Tamandua tetradactyla: one gene and its partner. The protein of the gene in region 1 purifies or fractionates together with the protein of each later gene. This does not show direct contact. Links are inferred from orthologs where the notes say so. Each region holds a gene or a part of one and is shown on either strand. Other genes may lie near its edges. The genes, in order: ASXL2 and OGT.

Evidence for each region.
Region 2: the proteins of ASXL2 (region 1) and OGT purify together in Homo sapiens (affinity purification with mass spectrometry; 3 studies listed by BioGRID and IntAct, with this or other methods). This does not show direct contact. The link is inferred for Tamandua tetradactyla from reciprocal best matches to the Homo sapiens genes ASXL2 and OGT.

The regions. Positions count from the first base shown.
Region 1 is NC_135329.1:9,591,252-9,601,887, forward strand, and holds the start of ASXL2 (putative Polycomb group protein ASXL2), read right to left. Parts: upstream 4,930-10,636; 5' UTR 4,646-4,929; coding exon 4,589-4,645; intron 1-4,588.
Region 2 is NC_135353.1:99,920,810-99,930,680, forward strand, and holds the start of OGT (UDP-N-acetylglucosamine--peptide N-acetylglucosaminyltransferase 110 kDa subunit), read right to left. Parts: upstream 4,127-9,871; 5' UTR 3,902-4,126; coding exon 3,865-3,901; intron 950-3,864; coding exon 769-949; intron 30-768; coding exon 1-29. UniProt on the Homo sapiens protein: Catalyzes the transfer of a single N-acetylglucosamine from UDP-GlcNAc to a serine or threonine residue in cytoplasmic and nuclear proteins resulting in their modification with a beta-linked N-acetylglucosamine (O-GlcNAc).

The DNA of each region.
Region 1 (10,636 bases):
TCACAGCCCAAGTGACCATCAATAGATGAACAGATAGACATAATGTGGCATTATTCAGGTATATAATGAAATGAATTTCTGATAAATGCTACGACATGGATGAACCCTGAAGACATCACATTGAGTGAAATAAGCCAGACACAAAAGGACAAATATTGTATGACTCCACTTACATGAAAGACCTAGAACAAGCAAATACATAGAGGCAGAGTAGATTATAGATTACTAGGGGCTAGAGGGACTGGGAATGTTTGTTGAGTACAGAGTTTCTGTTCAGGATGATGAAAAAGTTTTGGTAATGGATGGAAGAGATGGTAGCACAATACTATGAATGCAACTAACATCATTGAACTATACAGATGAAAGTTGTTAAAATGGGAAATTTCGTTATGCATCCTGCTACAATGAAAACATTTGACGTAGTATTCATTATTGAGTGAATAGTCTATAGATAGAATATAAAACAATACAAAAATCAACCTTTTTCTTTGGTCTACAAGTCATCTGTGAGAGATCTATCCTACGGATTGTGTGCCACATATTTCACTTTTCATATTCCGACCACCTTTTTTCCTGATTTCTATAACAGTGAACAAATATATCTTAAGTTTACAATTTCCAAAGTCTGCCTTTCTACCTACACACACTCACATATACACATAAACATAAACACACACAAAGTCTTCCATAACTGTTGATAAGTGAGGAGGGAAAAGTGAAAAAGGAAAACAGAATCAAGATCGTGCTATTTCAAAGTTTCTGCTTTGCAAACACTGCTAAAATCCTCAGAGATGTCATCAAATATTTAGATAATACAATGTCTTTTTTTTTTATTAAAGAATTAGGCCAACTTTGAACATGGTTCTAGAGTCAATGTAATGGTTCTCTATATCTCCGGCTTACACAAATTTTTCAGAATAAAAAACTAAACACTACACTACACCTTTCTCATCCTAATCATTTCATCATCACCACCACCACCACCACTGCTGCCCTTAAATTTTAACACACATGAAACTATTAACTAAATACCTGAATAATGCTTTTTATTACTAGAGTATTTAAACAAGTTAAATTTACGATCAATAAAGCTACAGTCCAATAGTCAATGAGCATTCAAGCCCAGTTGAATATCAGCTTCATTATTTCTTTTTTTGGTTTTCTTAGTTACTGAAACTAATCTGTAGTCTACATTTAAGTACGTTTTTTCAGTCTTTTGGCATAATTAACACATACTATAGAATTCATAAATAATTACAAGTCATTATTTTAATTTTTAAAATTGCTTATAAACTTTACATAAACCCATGTATCTCTCTCACATACGAAACATACTCACATATACACAGTATCTATCTTATTTAAACAAATTCAATTATTTGTTGCTATATTACTGGTCAGAAACATCACCCTGTTTTAATATGCCCTTAAAACAGGTTAGCGTACAATGCAGGTACCAAGAATAGTATAAAATAAGAAGTAGATACTGCCTATATTTGTAAATAATTTTATTATTTCCTTGCTGAAACTGTTCCTAGAACACTTGCCTTTAATGCCCTTGAAATAAATTTAACCCACTCTCCTAGTCCTCTTGATCTTCTAAATATCTGCATCACTTCTTAATTTAGGTCAAAGTTACTTTCGTTTGTCAATTTTCTGATCTCATTCTGCAGTCTGAAATATTAAAGATATGCTTCTGTCTACACTTACTTTTATCTATTCCTCCTACAAACAGAATTCTTCTAAACCCTGAGGTTAAGTTAATCTCATTTTACACATGATCAAACAACCCAAAAAAGAGGGTATTCTCTAGAAAGGGGGGGAAAAAGACAAGTTTTAGCATCATCATCTTCTTTCTAAACTTCACTTTTATTTATATTGAGATCTTTTATATTTGCCAGAATCAAATAAAAATGCCAAGCCACAATAAATTCTTTCAGAACTTCACTGATCAAACTAGCCTTTCTACCTTTTAACTAATATTTTTCACATGGCTAACTAGGGCATGAAATGTCAATTACAAATGTGCAAATGAGCTAACTGTAGGAAAATTTTAACACATGCAGACTAGTTTTTACTATTTGTCACAATTTTACAATCATTAGATTAATCAAAAAAATACTCTAGAAGTCTAGAGACAACATAAATAGCATAATTAGGGTGGAGTCTGCTTACCTATAATTAAAATTTGACATGCTTCTTTTAATAGCATGAAGAAGATTCTTTACATAAACCCATGTATCTCTCTCACATACGAAACATACTCACATATACACAGTATCTATCTTATTTAAACAAATTCAATTATTTGTTGCTATATTACTGGTCAGAAACACCACCCTGTTTTAATATGCCCTTAAAACAGGTTAGCGTACAATGCAGGTACCAAGAACAGTATAAAATAAGAAGTAGATACATAGATATCTAAGAAGTAGATATATACATACGATGGAATATTATGCAGCTTTAAGACAGAATAAACTTACGAAGCATGTAATAACATGGATGGACCTAGAGAACATTATGCTGAGTGAGATTAGCCAAAAACTAAAGGACAAATACTGTATGGTCCCAATGATGTGAACCGACATTAGAGAATAAACTTGGAATATGTCATTGGTAACAGAGACCATAAGGAGTTAGAAATAGGGTAAGATAATGGGTAATTGGAGCTGAAGGGATACAGACTGTGCAACAGGACTGGATACAAAAACTCAAAAATGGACAGCACAATACTACCTAATTGTAATGTAATTATGTTAAAACACTGAATGAAGCTGCATCTGAGCTATAGTTTTTTTTGTTTGTTTTGTTTTTTATATATATTTTTTGTATTTTTTATTTTTATTTTTCTCTCTCTATTATCATTTTATTTCTTTTTCTGTTGTCTTGCTATTTCTTTTTCTAAATCGATGAAAATGTACTAAGAAATGATGATCATACATCTATGTGATGATATTAAGAATTACTGATTGCATATGCAGAATGGAATGATTTCTAAATGTTGTGTTAGTTAATTTTTTTAATTAATAAAAAATATATATCAATTAAAAAAAAAAAAGAAGATTCTTGAGGTCTCCCTCAAGTACAGGTAAAATAGTCTTTTGTGGAGAAGCAAGCTCCCTGCCACATCAAAAATTATTTCTATAGTTTTATCTTTTAGAGAGAAACTACCAAAAGAGTCACAATTATGAAGAGATATTGTAAGTGAAAACAATTAATTTAAAAAGGACTATTATTTTTTCACTAACTTTTTCATATTGCCAACTAAAACAAAAACACAAGTTTAAGACTCATCAACCCCCTAATGCACAAAGTTTACAAGACAATGCACAAATTTGGGGAAATACATTTTTAAACCTAGATTTGGGGAAATACATTTTTAAAACTAGAAGATAATAAACCAAAACGCTAGCAGATGTAGCTGACGGCTGAAAAAAGTGATTTTATTTTCTTCTTTATATTTTTCCATAACTTTCCAAATTGAATACATACTGCTTTTATATTAAAAAAAAAAAAAACTCATTCAAAAAACAAACCACACAACGTACAAAAAAGTCTCATTAAGAAGGACTCTGCAAGTTGTCCAGGTATTACTGGTATAATTCATAATTAAAAATAATGATCCCCCGAAAGAAAATAATGCTCCCGCACCTTCTCACTTCCCAACACTGAAATGCTGTTTACTGTTCTATTATTTTTCTGTTGCACACTCAAGAACGGAGTGAACTTCATTCTCATTCCTACACATATACAAGCTTTTTACTTTTTTCTTAGATGTAAAAGTTCTCACTAATCCTTAATATTCCATGTTTGAAAACCTACCTCTAAAATTCGATGACAAAATTTGCAAAGTTTTACCCACTAATTAATACAACTTCATTGGCCCACCATCACTACGGAAAAGTGAAGGCCGAGTAAACTACACGTCCCACCATGCATTGCTGCCTTGTTCAGAGTAGGTCTCTACGGAAACAGAAAAAAAAAAAATTCTACAAGTCCCACCTGTTACTTCGTTTCTAAACACCTCCTGCACTTTCAGCTCAAACGGCAACAAAAACAAAACCTCGTGATGGCACGCCGGATCTCAGAGCCCAGATAAACCGGGGACCCGAGGTTAGGCAGCAAGTCTGCTTTAGCCGGTAAATTCTATCAGGCTCCAAGCGTTCCCCTCCTCTTTCCGGGGCTGAATGCACGCACAAGCGTTCTCCTATCTGCATCCAATGGGGACTCTTTGAGCCGCACAAGGGAGAAAAACGGGTTACTATGTAAGCACAACAGACTTCCCCATGCCGGGCAGGGGCGACCAGAGTCGGGGCGATAACAACTTGACCCCGACAGACTGCCTCAGAACACCTAAAGGACATGCCGCTGACGCTGGGAGCAAACCACAAGCCCGCGGCGACCCCCTTACGCTGCGCCTCCATTTCACAGGGATCACAACCTCAACACTAACCGTCGCCCTCTCCGCGAGGTTTTGTACCCCTTCAGCCGGGTCGCTGCGACAGTGACCTCCCTTCCCGTGCGACTAGCGGGTGGCAAGGAAACGAAATCCTCCCGGCCTTCCCTTTCGCTCCCTCCCCCTTACCGTCTTGGCGGCCTCCGCCCAGGTCCTGCCCTTCTTCCTACGGCCCTTTTCCCTCATGTCGGGTCCTGAACTGACTGGGTGGCTCCCGTGTCCGGGCTCCGGCCGCCCTCCCTGCCTTCTCTGCCCTGCGCTGCTTTTCCCGCGATGCCGGGAAAGGTGGGAAAAAGGGGAAGTCAGGCCGGAGAAGCACCCAAGCAGAGGCGGCGCGGGTGGCGCGCGGGGTGGGTTATGGGGCGACCGGTCCTCCTGCTGCCGTTGCCACTGCTACCGTCGCTGCCATGTTGGGCCCTTACTGTACAGGCAGCCGCTGCGGTCATGTGACCGCTCCCGCGCGGCCGTCCCTACTGTACGCAGCCAGCCGCGCGAACGAGCCCGCGCGCGCCCCCGCCTCCCGCTGGAGGATGCAGAGGGAGCAGGAGAGCCGGCCGGCCGCGGCGCCTGGCCACTCCCCAACCGTTCAGGTCTCCGCCTCTCTTCAGGAGCATGCGCGTAAAAGGGAGTCCGACGCTCCTGTGCGTCGGGCGTCTGACGCTCACGCCTATCACGAAATCGGCCTGCGGAAGCGGAACTTGATCGGTTGGTGGAGGCTCATTGGGAAGATCCCTACCGCGTGCCAGGTTGTGGGGACGTGGAAGAGTTTGGAGACATCCCGTTAGGGTAGCCTGTCACTTTCAGTAAGCCCTGTACTTTTGTTTTTTAGTCACATTTTACAGTGCATTTTTATAAAGATAATGATTTTGAAGATTTCCGACAATTTTCATCTACGTGTTAGCTACGTTTGACTGATGAGGCAACCGAGAGATCCAGTGACTTGGCATACGCGCCTGTCCACAATGTGAGGCCAAAAAACAAATTGCAAGTCCTTTCTGACTCTCTAGAATGTTGTTGTTTTTTTAAAAAAAAGAAACATAACAGACTCCGGAAATAGACGTATTATGTGGTCAATTGCTTTTTTTTCTATTTGTTCTTTAAACCATATCCACCAAATAAGACTGCTTTAAAAAAAAAAAAAAAAAACTGGCAGTAATTACATTCACGCTTTCACATGTACATTGTCTCATCCAGGATAGAAACAGTGTCACATTTACCTAATGTGAACCCAGTCCCTAGCATACTGCCTGTAATATCAGGTGCTCTGCAAATATTTGCCGAGTGATTCAATTTTGCCGTCAGAAACCATTATTTGTAGTGTCCGTAGCAGCCTTCTGAAAGATCCAGAATGTGGCATTTCCCATGCCATTTCCACGTCTTTATACTTTGCAAAGTAAAACTGTGACAATTACTGATCTGCCAAACCCACCTAGTTCCAGAGGCTGCCCGGAACAGTCTAGTAAATTAATCTATATACTGAAATAGAACTGAGGACACAGTACTGCCTCTTTGGAGGAGTGGCAGGTTAGAAAAATATGTAACTTAGAGTTCATGGATGGGTTTTAGGAGTTGGTGAACCGCCTAAAATCGTAGGCGGTATTTTGTGTGTAAATTAATATGTGCATTTTTTGAGAAGAAGATTCATAGGTTTTCTTTTTCTTTTCAAAAGGGGCCTTGTTACACAGAAAAAAAAATTTTAAGTGGGAGTTGGAGATGCTATCTTCTTTATATTTCCCCTTTAGTCATTGATCAGACGGCCCCATTTCAGCAATTGATATGGCTATAGTTTCATAAATTCCTTTAGTAATTCAGTACTACCCATAACACTCACAGTGATTACCATCCCACTACAAAGCCTGGACCTAAAGTCAGTTCAAGCAGCCCTTCTCCATCTCCCAGTTATTGGCTAGGGCTTACCTTACACCCCTACTGCCTGGGCATGGCAGCTCTACCCCACTTGTATTTAGTCCCTACAGCCAGATACTCCCACTGTCTTTACTTTGCATTTTGGAGTTTTATTCCCAGATTTTAATTTCAAAAGGAGATAAGGATTGCAATATTGCGTTACCTACTTTTTTATCTTCCACAAGTATGAATGGGTTTTTTAATTATTTATTTTTTAATTAAATTATAATTGCCTAAAGAGTGTTTTAGTCCCATGACTGTTCATGCAGATTTTATGCCTGTTGCATCTCTTCTATCATTTCCACTCCAGTTCTGTAATTTCCTAAATGTTTTATCTATACTCAAGCCCCTCCTTCAAAGGATGCCAGATTTATCTTCTTAAAATTCCACCTAAGTGTAAAATGGTGCAGCCGCTATGGAAAACAGTTTGGCAATTCTTCAGAAGGTTGAACATAGAGTTGCCATATGACCTAACAATTCCTCTTCTAAATATATACCCCAAAGAGTTGAAAACAGGGACTTGAACAAATATTTGTATACCAGTGTTCATGGTAGCATTATTTACGATACCCAAAAGATGGAAGCAACCCAAGTGTCCACCAGCAGGTTCAAAAATGTGGTATATCTGTACAATGGAGTATTATTCAGCCATAAAAAGGAACGAAGTCAGAGAGTGTGAGGGTAGTTCAGTGGTAGAATTCTCGCCTGCCATGCAGGAAACCCAGGTTAGATTCCCAGTCCATGCACTTCCCAAAAACAAACAAAAAAAAAGCAAAACTTCAACAAATAGTGCAGCAGTAACAGGATACTCACAGGGAAAAACAATGAAATGTGACCCCTGAGGCGGTGTGATGGTAGCTCAGTGGTAAAATTCTCGCCTGCCAGAGACCCGGGTACGAGTCCCACAGCCTGCCCAAGCACACACACACACAAAAAGCAAGAAAGGCACTTAAAAATAATAATAATAAAAATAGTGAGTTCCCTGTTTATAAGATTTCTCATTGTAAAAATCCCACAGATATATGTTGGTTGTACAGAAGCAGGTACTGAATCTCAACTCCTTGTGCAAGTAATTTATCAGCATGCTCTCAGGAGAAATATGTAAGGATGTGAAGGAAGCATGAGAGACAAGGAAAGAAGCTAAGCAAAGATGTCCAGCCCCAGCCTGATATCACCAGGAGCTCTTGAGCCTAAATGGTCCCACAGAATTACTCAACTTTGAAGTAAAAGACTGAGCTTTTGTCTCCTCTTAGCAAACAGTCTTAAATGGAGGCTCTCTTCTCGAGGGACAGGGTTCATTGCAACCCAAACATTTCCAGGAAGGATGCCTCTTGGTGACCAAGGGCAACTCTCTGGAGAAGGTTGCAGCTGCGAACACCTAGTTACCAGTACTTACAGCAGCTGAAGGATACGTGCAACAGAAGGGGGTCTGGGCAAGGCAGAATAGGGTCTGTTACAAATTATAAAAAAGAAAATTTTAATTCCACTACCTAGACATCACCCAGATCATTTTCATATTTTGCTTACAATAAAATAGCATGTATAGGATGACACAATTATATATATATTTAAATACACATACATCTTTCTATAAAAAGAAAAGTATATTATGCATGCTATGTAATCATATTTTTATACTTAAAATATATTACAGACTCTATTTCCATTTTGAGAAATATGAACCTGTAATGTCAGGGGAGATGTTAATACAACACACCTCATATTTCCATGTTTTAGAGGAGTTGTCCTGGCTTCTTGCTCTACCCCTTACACATGCCCTAACCTGAAAAGCAATGATTGGGAGTGGCAATCATAGGTCTAGTTTCTTCATTGTCAAAGCAAATCTATTAAAAGGCCATCAGCACAAAGAATTCACTTCCTTTGCTTTTTCTCCTTCACCCTGGGACAGTGTGAGTTACTGAACCTTATTAAAGATGTCTCCTTTGGAGACTCAGACTTTCACTCAGATGGGTTATCTTAAGTTCTAGCAAGCACGTTTGACCCTCACCACCCATTTTATCTTCAATGGTTTTTTCGTTATGAAGGTGACATCTTCATTTCCACCTGCTTGCCTCCTGTAGATATCTCTCAGTTGTTTTTTTTTCTAAATTTGGGCAGATTGGACTGGTTGACACCTCAGATTCCAACATATAGTATAATTTTAAATAGCTATATAAAATATCATAATATATTAATTCATAGAGATTAAATCTAGGATATAGGTCACCAGGAGATAGAATGAGGCTAAAGAAAGGGAGTAGATGCTTAATGTGTGCAGCATTTCTAACTAGGTTGAATGTAAATGTTTGGAAATGGACACAGGTGATGGTAGTACATTATGGTGAGAGTAATAAACACATAATAAGCACATTATGGTAAACGTAATAAACAGCGCTGAATTATGTGCATGGGATTGTGGTGGAATGGGGAAGTGTATGCCACTAGAAGGAAAGCTAGAGGTTAAAACATGGGACTCTATTACCCAGTGAACCCTGTGGTGGTTGATGACTGTAATTAACAGCACACATATAAAAATGTTCTTTCATGACTGAGAACAAATGTACATCATTTTTATAAGGAGTTAATAAAGGAGAAGCATGTGGGGAAATGCACTTATTGTAAACTATGACCTATATTTAACAGTAATATTTTAATATTCTTTCATCAACAATAACAAATGTACCACACCCATGCTGGGGGTCAGTAATATGGGGGGGACGAGGGACATGGGATGTTTCTTGTTTGTTTGTTTGTTTGTTTGATTGTTGAGTAATGAAAATGTTCTAAAATTGATTGTGGTGATGCATGCACAACTATGTGATGATACTGTGTATACTTTAGAAGGATTATACGTTATGTGAATGTCTCAATAAAACTGCATTAAAAATAGCTATATATTCCTGTGTGAATAATGGACAACAATTTTAACTAATCTCCATGTTTTCCCAATTTTTCTATTATAAACAATGCTGAGATGAACATCCTAGTACACACTTTATTACTCATTAGTAGAAAGGCAGCTAATAAATATTAATATAAAAAAGACAAGGTTTAGAATCATATGCATACTATGATCCCATTTGATGGAAAAGAAAAAAAAAAAGAGGGGAGGATAGACATTCTTTTTAGCTACTAGTATCTGAGCCCCCTTCCTCTATTTGGAAATTTCCCATCTACTTTAGAAATTGAAAACTCCAATCTCTCTTGCAGCTAGGGCTTTATATCAAATGTTAATGCTCACTAGAAAGTATCCATTAGGGATGAAGCACTAAGAAAATAAGTGGACACAATGATTCTGTCAGTTGACATCAGTCAACCTTTATCAATGGCCACTCCAGGGCTTGCCCAATTCATCCATGAACATGGTAGCCATCATGGCAGGAATGGAGGCTGTGAATGTGTACAACAGCCTGGCCCCCCACTCACCAAGGCTGATCTACTTATTGTTACTACTGGATGTCCAGCCCACCAGCAAGAAAGTCAAAAGCTGAACCCCTGATTGGACACCATCCTCAACAGGACCAATCAGCCACTTGATGGTAAATTAACTGCAAAGAACCCTTTCTACCTTAGAAGAGTCAGCAACTCGTTTTGAGTAAAACAAATATGTAGTTCAGATATGGGCTAGGTCATGACCAGGAGCCAGGCTGTGGGATCCCATTCAAAATCACAGATTCTGAATGTATACAGGTCAAGAGAGGCACCTGCACAGAGGAAGAGGTGCTAGCATCAGACTGGGAAGGCTACAATTCCCCCCACCTAAGTACTTTCTACTCATAGGAACTTGGGCAAGTTGCTCAACCTCTTTAAGCCTCAGTTTCATCTACTAGGGTTACTATGAGGTGTGAATGAGGTGATACATGCAGTAGTACTTGGAATAGTGACTCATACATTGGAAGCCATCAATAAATGGCAGCTGTAGTATCATATATATTAATCATTTCATTTTTTTTCAGGGGTGTGTGTGATCTGGGCATCAAACCCAGGTCTCTCACTTGGAAGGTGAGCATTCTGGCACTGAACCACCCGTGCACCCCAGTATCATATACATTATACGTGGTCAGAAAAGAGGGCAACCTTGTCAACCCTTCTTCTCTCCTACAGAACTTATGAATACCTAGCCATTACCATTTCTCACCTATTCAACAAAATTTAGATTACTTGGTGACCAGCCCAGGAGGAACCTAGAAGGAAAGGAAAGAAAGGAACTGACTGTTGAATGTCTGCTATATACCAGACAATTTATATGAGAATATGAAAACTGAGGAACTT
Region 2 (9,871 bases), on another chromosome or scaffold:
TAATTGCCAATGTGCTAAAGTGGGCAGATCTGGAAAAGGCGAAAAGTGTTGATGCATGGGTATTCATGTTACAGGAAGAAGGTACGGCCCACATGCAACTCAAACAGTTTCTGAAGATCCCTTGCAATTGCTAGTCATGGAACAATCTTTTCACTAGTGCACAGTAAGAAAATTTTTGGAAACAAAAGTTGTTCAAAAGTAGAGGGATTTCAGATTTCAACTCAGAAAGCTCTTTTTTTCTTATGAGATAAAATTCTTGCTATGTCTTTAAATGTCTAAGTGAACCAGAGAGACAATTTATTAGAAAAGACAAGGTCACAAAATGCTTCCTTTTGATTAATTCAACTGATGAGCTAAAAGTAACATCTTGTAAAGCAGTAATGGCACTGTTTGCAACTTGAGGCACAATGTATCTCCTACCACAGTATATACACCATCACTTCTGAGCATTTTAATCCCTTGGCTAACATATTTTACACTAAGAATAATTTATTACCTGAATACAGTTAAGAAAGCTGTAGACTCAGGTGGTAAAGTTTAGAAAAGGTACCTATTCATACAGATAATATAACCACCACCACAAAAAGAGGCAGAAAAACTGGCAGCTGGACTGCCACACGTCACAAGTAGGCAAAAGAGCAGATGTGTGTTGGTGGCTCACTTGAAACCCAATACTGGAAAAACTTCAAGTTCAAATATTTAAGTATCATTTCTCAAGCTCAGCACCCAGAGGCAGCAATCACCAGCAGGTATCCCAACATCTCCTACCTGTCCAGCCTTCGACACTGGAAGTGTATAGATGAAAGTAATAAAAGCACACCAGTATTGTCAGGCTCTTGTCTCCAGAGCTGCATGCAGTGTCTTTCAGCTGCCTCAAAATCTCCTGCCTGATATTCTCGATGTGCCAACTCAGCTAACCCTTGGAAGGAAAGCATACGTTTCGTTGGTTCTGGAGAATCATCAAAACATTTGAGGGAGGGAGGGGGGAAACAAAAAGTTAGAAATGCAAACAAAAAAATGTAAAAATATGGTATATTAAACTTAAAGATGAAAAATGCTTGAAACTATGTAAAGCACTAGAGTGTTCTGCATGTTATTTGTACCCCCAAGTTAACAGGTGCAGAATTGGCATTTTCAGAATTCATCCATTAATACTTTCTTTCCCAAACTAGATAGGAATATTTACTTTCAAACTATATTACATTTTTTGAACAAGAGTACAAAAATATTTTTTGTACTCTTAAATTATAAACTCATTTATAACATTATAAATGTTAAATGTAGGTAACATTTAAAGAGTAACTAAACATTATTCCTTATACCTTAGTTAACATATAGAAACAAAGTATAAAACGTGATTTTGAAAGGTGATAAAGATTTAGTAATGTCAGAACAACCATCTGAGAAACAATACTTTCCATCATGTTTTAGGTTGGATTTGGTAGGCGTAAAGGAGTGGATAACTGGTAACCATCTAACCTAGGTGGGGACTCAGATATTTATTTTGTTTTTACTCTTTATATTGATGTGTTTGTTTAGTTCATAATATATATATTTTTAAGCAAGGGCAACACTAGAAAGAAGCAAAAGGAAAAAACTCAAAGTCAGGTGCTATTTTTAAAATAGCTGATAAACAAGATAAATCCATCTGTCAAGAGCTAAAATATTTTAAAGGGGTCATAAACATTTTAAATAAAGACCCAGAGTTACATTACTCCTCTACCAACCCAAACTCACAAAGATACTAAGTTAGCGAAATCCCACCCACACTGGTTTAACACTAGCATTTTCCAAAGTGCTGTGGCACTGACTAAAGAATCAAGGTATTGTAAACAATTCTATATAAACCAGGCAGTTACCTACAACTATAATAATTTTAAAAAAATGGGAAAATACTAAAATATATAACATTTGTTAAAGCTCAACAGAATAAACAATAAATAAAAGCCTTTGCTGTATGCAGGTGACTTAATTTAGGTACAAAGATAAGAATATAGTTAAGGCCTAGAGAGAGAAAAACAAACAAGGCCTAAGTCTTCATTGTAAATACTTATTTAAACAGTGATGATATATTATCGGAAATTTGACCATAGCACTCCCACAAACATGCATAGATTGTTGGATTGGGAAACTAAGGAAATTACCTAAACTCCACCAAGGACACAGAGACAAACTCAAATTGGAGTCTCACTTCTCGATCATTAAAGTGTGTTCTGGATACTAAGGAAAGCAAAGTAAATTTCCTGACAGAATGTACCGCTGACCATGTATACGTAAAAGCAGAGAGACCTGTATCGAAATGGGGAGACTTTCTCTTCAAGAGCACAGAAAATTACATTTTAGAGAAGTCTCTAGACCTTCCTAGCTCCTTAATTTAATGCATTACTTTATCACTTTTCCAAGTGGCTCCTCTGCTAACTTTAACACTTGAAATGACGACTACCTCAAATAAAACACACAAAAAAAGGCAAGCAAGTGCAGAATCTTTTATCTTTAAAAATCACTGTGGGGAGGAGGGGTAGAACAGTGACTATTTATTAATCTCACTACCTATAATTATGGATAACAGGGAATTGAAGATCCATTTATCATTTACCGTCCAATGTCCAAAAATAATAAAAACCCTCTACACATATCAACCGAGAAATATCAAAAAATAACCTCGTGGGAAATATCAGGACCGCGGCCCAATCCTCTCCTCCTTCCTCCTCCCCAAATAGCCCCTATGGGGAAAGGCAGCCGAAGCGAAACTCCTACAATTTGGATGTTTTGTAAATTTTGAACACAAAATGCTCTCGACTCGATTATCTAAACGGGCAACCGCCTGGCACTTGTGCAGCTACACTCCAGTGGCTTTACAAACTCTTCAAGCAGGGATGAAAACTTAAAATATATATTAAAAAAAAGAGAGAGAGAGATCCACCCTGTGAATAAGGAGATGCGAGGCTAAAGAATGGGGATGGAAGACCCAGAAGGCGGCGGCGGAGGAATACAAGGAGAAAGTCACAACAAAGCGAGATTCCCGAACGCAGTGCGGTCAACACCAAAGCAATAGCACCGGGGTGGTTTCTGCCCCAAGGATAGAAACTGGACCGCAGGGCTGGCAACGTCGCGAAGGGAAGGGTGTGGTTCCCTGCGGGAGGGGAGCGGAGGGGGCACTGGATGGCAAGGCAGGCTGTGGGGGTGGGGGGGCAGCGTGCGGATTTGGGCGATTGCAGAGAACGCCTGGAAATTTCCAATCCAGACCGGGCCCCCACTCGACCGAAAGCAGACTAGAAAGGCGCAGCTGCCTCAGCGGGGTGCTGCTTACTCAAGGTCCCGTTTTCTCGAGGTTCCTTGTAAGCACATCGGCGAGCTTTCGCTCGTCCTTGGGTGCTGCAAAATGGGGATGCGTTTACATCGGAATGGCACCCCTGCCGTAGACTGACAACCCAAATCGGGTTAAGGGCTTGAAAGGGTTGGAAAGGGCCGTGGAGAGGGAAGAGCAGCGAGCGGTGAGCTGGAATGAGGGCAGAAAATGGTTGGGAAGGACAGTGAAAGGGCAGGGATTCCAACGCAGTCCGTTCCGAGACATCCTTACAGCGCACTGGTGGGAGAAGTGTCCCGAGAGTGTAGAAGGCTAGAACATTTATGGGATTGAAAAGGGGAACAAGGAAGCAGAAAACAAGCGAGAAAGGAAGGAGGAAGAAATGCTTAAGGAGGAGAAGACGGAGGAAAAACCCATCAGATGCCGGTAGACCACGACAAGCTAACGCAATACCACTGATGCAACGAGGGTGGCTAGAAGGGAGGGAAGGAGGAGAGGGGGGAAACAGCACGAGACCCCGAAGGGGCGTCTGCCAAGGTAGAACGGGACACTGGTACCTGTGCTGTCGGCCACGTTGCCCACGGAAGACGCCATCTGGAGCTTCTTGGGGGAGGGCGAGGAGGGGTAAGTGGGTCCCGCTGCCGCCGCTACTAGCAAGAATGTTTCTGGAGGTAGTGGTAAGAGGGCAACAACAGTACCAGTACTTTGGAAGGCTTAAACAGCGGCAGCAGTTACAGACTTCGAACCTTAGGAACTATAGTTAGCTATCTACCTCTCACAGTCTTGAAATGGCGGCTACTGCTCCTCGGCCGAAACAACACGGGCCGGAACTACTTTCTGTTACAATCAAGTACCAGTGCGGAGGTAGCGCGGTAACCAGCGCTACAGACAAAATGACTATAATCAAAGTCGCTTGCTATTGTGTAACCTTCCGCGCAGGGCCCATTGCGACAAACACGATTGCGTCGACAGCGCATGCGAGCAACCCTGTCAACCTGACTCGGGCTGGCTAGGGCACCGTCTAGGGCAGGAGCGTCCAAGTTTTGTTTTGTTCGTTTCGTTTGGTTTGGTTTCGTTTTGTTTTTAAATAGTGAAGCAGAAGGTTTAAAAAGCGCATCCATTTTTGCCAAAGTGAAAAGTGCCAAGTGTAACCTGTTACCTAGCCAATAATGTAGATTTTAATAGAAATGTCAAAGGAGGCTTAAAAAGTTTACATCAGCTTTATTCATACGAAAATGAATACTTACAAGGCTGAGAATTACTAGTCGTGCATCGATTCCAAACAAATAAAATTGTGATTGAATTTTTGAAGATTGAACTGTTCGTCAAAACGTTGGGGGAAGCTTTTCCAATTTGAACACGTCATAATTCTGACTCCAGCAATTGATTCAAACGTTTTGATGAAAAAAGACTGATACATTCGCATGGCCAAATGAACCCAAACATCTCAGATTTTGGCTATATAGCCCGAAATTTCCAAATAGTTTTGATATTCAGAATAGTTCTGCCTACAGCAATAGGGTAGATAATTAACTCAGGGACAACCTTACAGTTCGCACCCCAAAGGCAGCCATAAAATGTTAAATATGATTCCTACTTAAATATGATTCCTACCGTTCAAAATCTGACTCTCTTCTGAGTTGTGACTTCATTTCCACAAAATAGGTCTGCAAATCCTCACAATCTGTGATTGCATTGCGCTTGATGCAATTCAGAAATGATAAATGAATTCACTTGCCATTTATCTGCACCACACATGTAATTTGAGTCTGAATTACCTCCACTTCCATAAGCAAATGAGCTCTTACAAATCCTCCTGAGTCTCAAGTCCACTGATTAGATATTTTGTAACATTAGTATTCATTTATACCTCATAGTTTGTTCTAGAAAGGATTTAAGGTAGCTTTTCCTATCAGCAAGAAACTATTATAAGCCACTGGAGGTAACAAGTTGAGTCTCTGTGCCATTTTGTTTAGTCCTTGATCTAAGAAAACAGGTCAGTGAATTTCTTCAAAAAGTTTCTACTACGTTAAAAAAGAAAGAAAGTCCTTGAGCAACGCTTCAATTTCTTCCAGACAGTCCACAAACTGTTAATTATGGATATGAGCACAGAGAATAATTCTCAGCCCTGTAAGTATCATAATGTTGGTAATTTCTTCCATCCCGTAATCAAGAGTAACATCACGCAGTAAAAAAGACAAAGTTCACTGCACAAACTCTCCTAGAAATTGGGCTTTTGTTGATGGTGCTTCCCCTCCCACTACCAGTGCCCCATATGTGGTGAATAAACTCAGCTTTTCAACTTTTAAACCAGACTTCTCAAATTCCACTGGCAGATGTTTAGGCCTTACTGATTAGTGGGTGCTAGCCAATTAAGCCAAACTCTTATTGTTGTTAAATGCCAGGTCATGCTCCCAATCATTTGGCCCATCCATACTTGTGGTTTAAAGTTCCCTATCCTGAGAGAAGAGTCCGAAGATGTTATGATACGTTTTGCTACCATGCAAAACTGGAAGGTGGGGCTCACAGTGGCTCACTAGAGAAAATCCCCTGATGAAAACATCTTTCTTAGGGCTCCAGAAATCAGTTAAAGGATTGTAGTAACATGCAGTAACAGGGTAAGCATGGAATCAAGAAAAGGGCCACTTAAAAAGCGGTTGGATATCCTCTTTCCCTGGCTGGAACCTCCCCCTACCCCTCACTGGCTAAGCAGCGGAGTTGGTGGGCCATTCGCTCAGTGTGAATCCGAGTCCCAGTTCTTGAGAGAGAGGGCGGCCCGCCCCGGTGCACATGCTGGGAGCATGTCTGTTTTGTTTCAGTCTATCTGGTGGTGGTCTGAGCGTCTCAGTGCTCCAGAACTTGCGCTGTGTGTAGAAGGCAGCTCACAGAGCTCTCCCACAGATTGCTGTGGGAAAACAGTCAAATCCTGCTGCCTGAGGCAAGGGATCACGGGCTGTAGGACAGACAATGTAGTCCCGGACCCTGAGGAAACTGTTTCATAGGGGAGAGGGGACATTCCTAACCCAGTAAACAAGGGAATTCCTAGGGCCATACGTGCATGCCCCAGACAAGACACAGGTGCAGAAAGAGTCTGTAAGGCCCCTATGCTTTAGCCTTCAGCTATTCCCATACATCCCATTGTATAGATAAACCCCAAAGGAAGGCACTTGCACAGGTCAATCTGCAAAGTCTGGGAAAGGTGTTTTCTTTTTTTCCTTCTTCCCCCTCCCCCTGCTTTTTTTTTTTTGTTAGGTCCTGCCATTCAAGGAAAACTCAGTCATAACACTAGTTGGATAAAATTTGAAGGAGCAGATGCCTAGAGTTTAAATTTCAGAGATAACACATTAAAATATCAAATGTCCAAGTTTCAGAAAAGATTACAAAACATAAAAGAAACAGCAAGCAATGGCCCAGGTAAAGAAGATTAAAGCATTAGATACCATCAGTGAGGAGGACCAGACCTGGGACACACCAGACAAAAACTTTTTAAAAATGGTCCCAAATATTCTCAAAGACCTAAAGGCAAACATGAACAAGGAACTAAAGGAAATCAGGAAAGCAATAGGGGAACACAAAAAATATCAATATAGAGATGGAAATTATGAAAACGCATCAATCCAGAGCAGAAGACCATAATAACAGAAGTTTAAAAATTTCTAGAAGGGTTCAACAGATTGGAGCTGGCAGAAGAAATAATCAGGGAATTTAATGATAAGACAATGGAAATCATCCAGTCTGAGGAGCAGAAGGAAGAAAGAATGAAGAAAAACAAACAGAGCCTGAGGAACCTGTGGGGCACCATCAGGCATACTAACTATGCATTGTGGAAATCCCAGAGGGAGAAAAGAGAAAGGGACAATGAGAATATTTCAGGAAGTAATAGCTGCAAACTTCAAATTTAACAAAAGACATAAATATACACATCCAAAAAGCTCAACAAATTCTAAACATGATAAACCCCTGCTGAGACATACTATAATCAAACTGTTGAATGCCAACGATAAAAAGAGTATTTTGAAAGCCACAAAAGAGAAGCAACAAGTCATGGTACAAGGGAGCCTCAATAAGATTAAGTGCAAATTTCTCATTGGAAACCATGGAGGCAAGAAGGCAGTGGGGTGACATGTTTAAAGTGCTGAAAGCAAAAAATATTGCCAACCAAGAATTTTGTATCTGGCAAAGCTGTCTTTCAGAAATAAGAGAGATGTGCTGGTTTGAAAGGATGTATGTACCCTAGAAAAGCCATGTTTTAATCAAAATCCCATTTCGTAGATGCAGAAAAATCCCTGTTCAATACTGTTTGTAATTATATCATCTCCCTGGAGATGTAAACTAATCAAGAGTGGTTGTTAAACTGGATTAGGGGAGATGTGTCTCCACCCATTTGAGTGGGTCTTGATTGGTTTACTGGAGTCCTATAAAAGAGGAAGCATTTTGGAGAATAAGAGAGTCAGAGAGAGCAGAGCAGAATGACATAGCCACGAGAAGCAGAGAGCCCACAAGCCAGCGGCCTTTGGAGATGAAGAAGGAAAATGCCTCCCAGGGAGCTTCATGACACAGGAAGCCCAGAGAGAAAGCTAGCAGATAATGCCTTGCTCACCATGTGCCCTTCCAGCCGAGAGAGAAACTGTGACTGTGTTCTCCATGAGCTTCATCGGCCTTCTTGAACCAAGGTGTCTTTCTCTGGATGTCTTTGATTGGACATTTCTGTAGACTTGCTTTAATTGGGACATTACCTCGGCCTTAGAACAGTAAACTAACAACTTATAAAATTCCTCTTTTTAGAAGCCATTCTGTTTCTGGTATATTGCATTCTGGCAGCTAGCAAACTAGAACAGGAGGGATTAACTCATTCCCAGACAAACAGAAGCTGAGGGAATTCATCACCACCAGACAGGCCCTACAAAAGATGCTAAAAGAGTTCTATAGGTTGAAAGGAAAAGATAATGGACCATAGATTGAAGCCACAGGAAGAAATAAAGATCTCCAGTGAGGGTAATAACATGAGTAAATATAAATTCTAGTACTATTTTATTTTTGGTTTGTAACTTCGCTTTTTACTTCCTACAGGATCTGAAAGGCAGATGCATAAAAGGTAATGATTAATCAGTGGTTTTGGACTCATAACATATAAAAATGTAGCTTGTGACAAGAACTACATAAAAGTGGAGGTACAGAAGAGTATAGGAACATAGTTTGCATGTACTATTGAAGTTGTCAGTATCAAAGCAAACAAGATTGATATAGATTTAGGATGTTAAATTTAAGCCCCATGGTAACTACAAAGAAAATATTGGAGAATATGTAAACTCATAGAAACAGAAATTAGCATACAGATTGCCAAGGTGAGGTGAAGGGTAGGGAGAATGGAGAGTTGATGTATAATGGGTGTAGGATTTCTGTTTGGGGAGATGGGAAATTCTAGTAACGAAAGGTGGTAAGGGTACTGCAATATTGTGATTATGATTAATCTCAATGAATGTATGTGTGGTAGTTGCTGAGATGGGAAAGTTTATGTTGTATAGATGATCCCACAAAAAAAAAGGAAAAAAGAAAGAGCAACTAAAGTGACAATGACAATTAAATGCAATACATTATCCTGAATGGGATCTAACAAGGGAGGAGAAAAAATGTCAATGGGACATTATTGGGACACATGAAAAAATTGGAATAAAGAGTATAAGCTTTTTATCAGTGTTAAATTGCTTAAACTTGATACATGTATGTAAGGTGGTGACATAAATGAGTATCCTTGTTCTTAAGGAATATACATGGAAGTAAAGTGTTCAATGAACATGATGTATACAACTTACATTCAAGTGTTCATAAAAAAATCTATCTATCATAAATAAATAGATAGATAGCATAATATGGCAAATGTGGCAAAAAAGTTAAAATTGGTGGATCTGGGTATGGGGGGGGAGCAGTACGGATATATTACCTGAATGGGGTATGTAGTATTTTTGCAACTGTCCTATAAGTTTAAATGTATTTCAAAATTGAAAGTAAGAAGCAAAAACAAAAAGAAAACCCCTTGTCAGAGTCTCAGGAACCCAATTCTAGGTACTTTCCAGGAATAACTTCTGGGGGGGTTAGTTTGAAAAACATACTAATCAAGCCCACCCTCACTCAAATAACACTAGAGCCTCTATGTACAAAGCACTTGTGGGGGATTCAAAAAAGAACGAGACCAAGTTCTCACCCTCAAGGAATTTGAAGCTTAGTTAAGTAGATAGAAAAAGCCACTAGAGAACAATACAGTAGAGTATTAAGTGATAAAATATGTTACCATCTATAAAATACCTGAGGAGGAAACAATCACTTCAGGTTGGTGGGGCTGATGGAAAAGGCCTGGGTCAGGCATTGAAGGAGGTGTTTTGTTTTGTTTTGTGTGTTTTGTTTTCTTTTTCACACTGATTTCTGATTTTTTTCTCCCTTTTACATGCAGCAATTCTAAATTTAGAGTCATCCATAAATAAATCAGATGCCTCTTCAACGCCAATCTCAAATATTGCCACCCTGAAAACACCTTTAATGGTCTATCACTGTTTTCTTTTGCTGCAT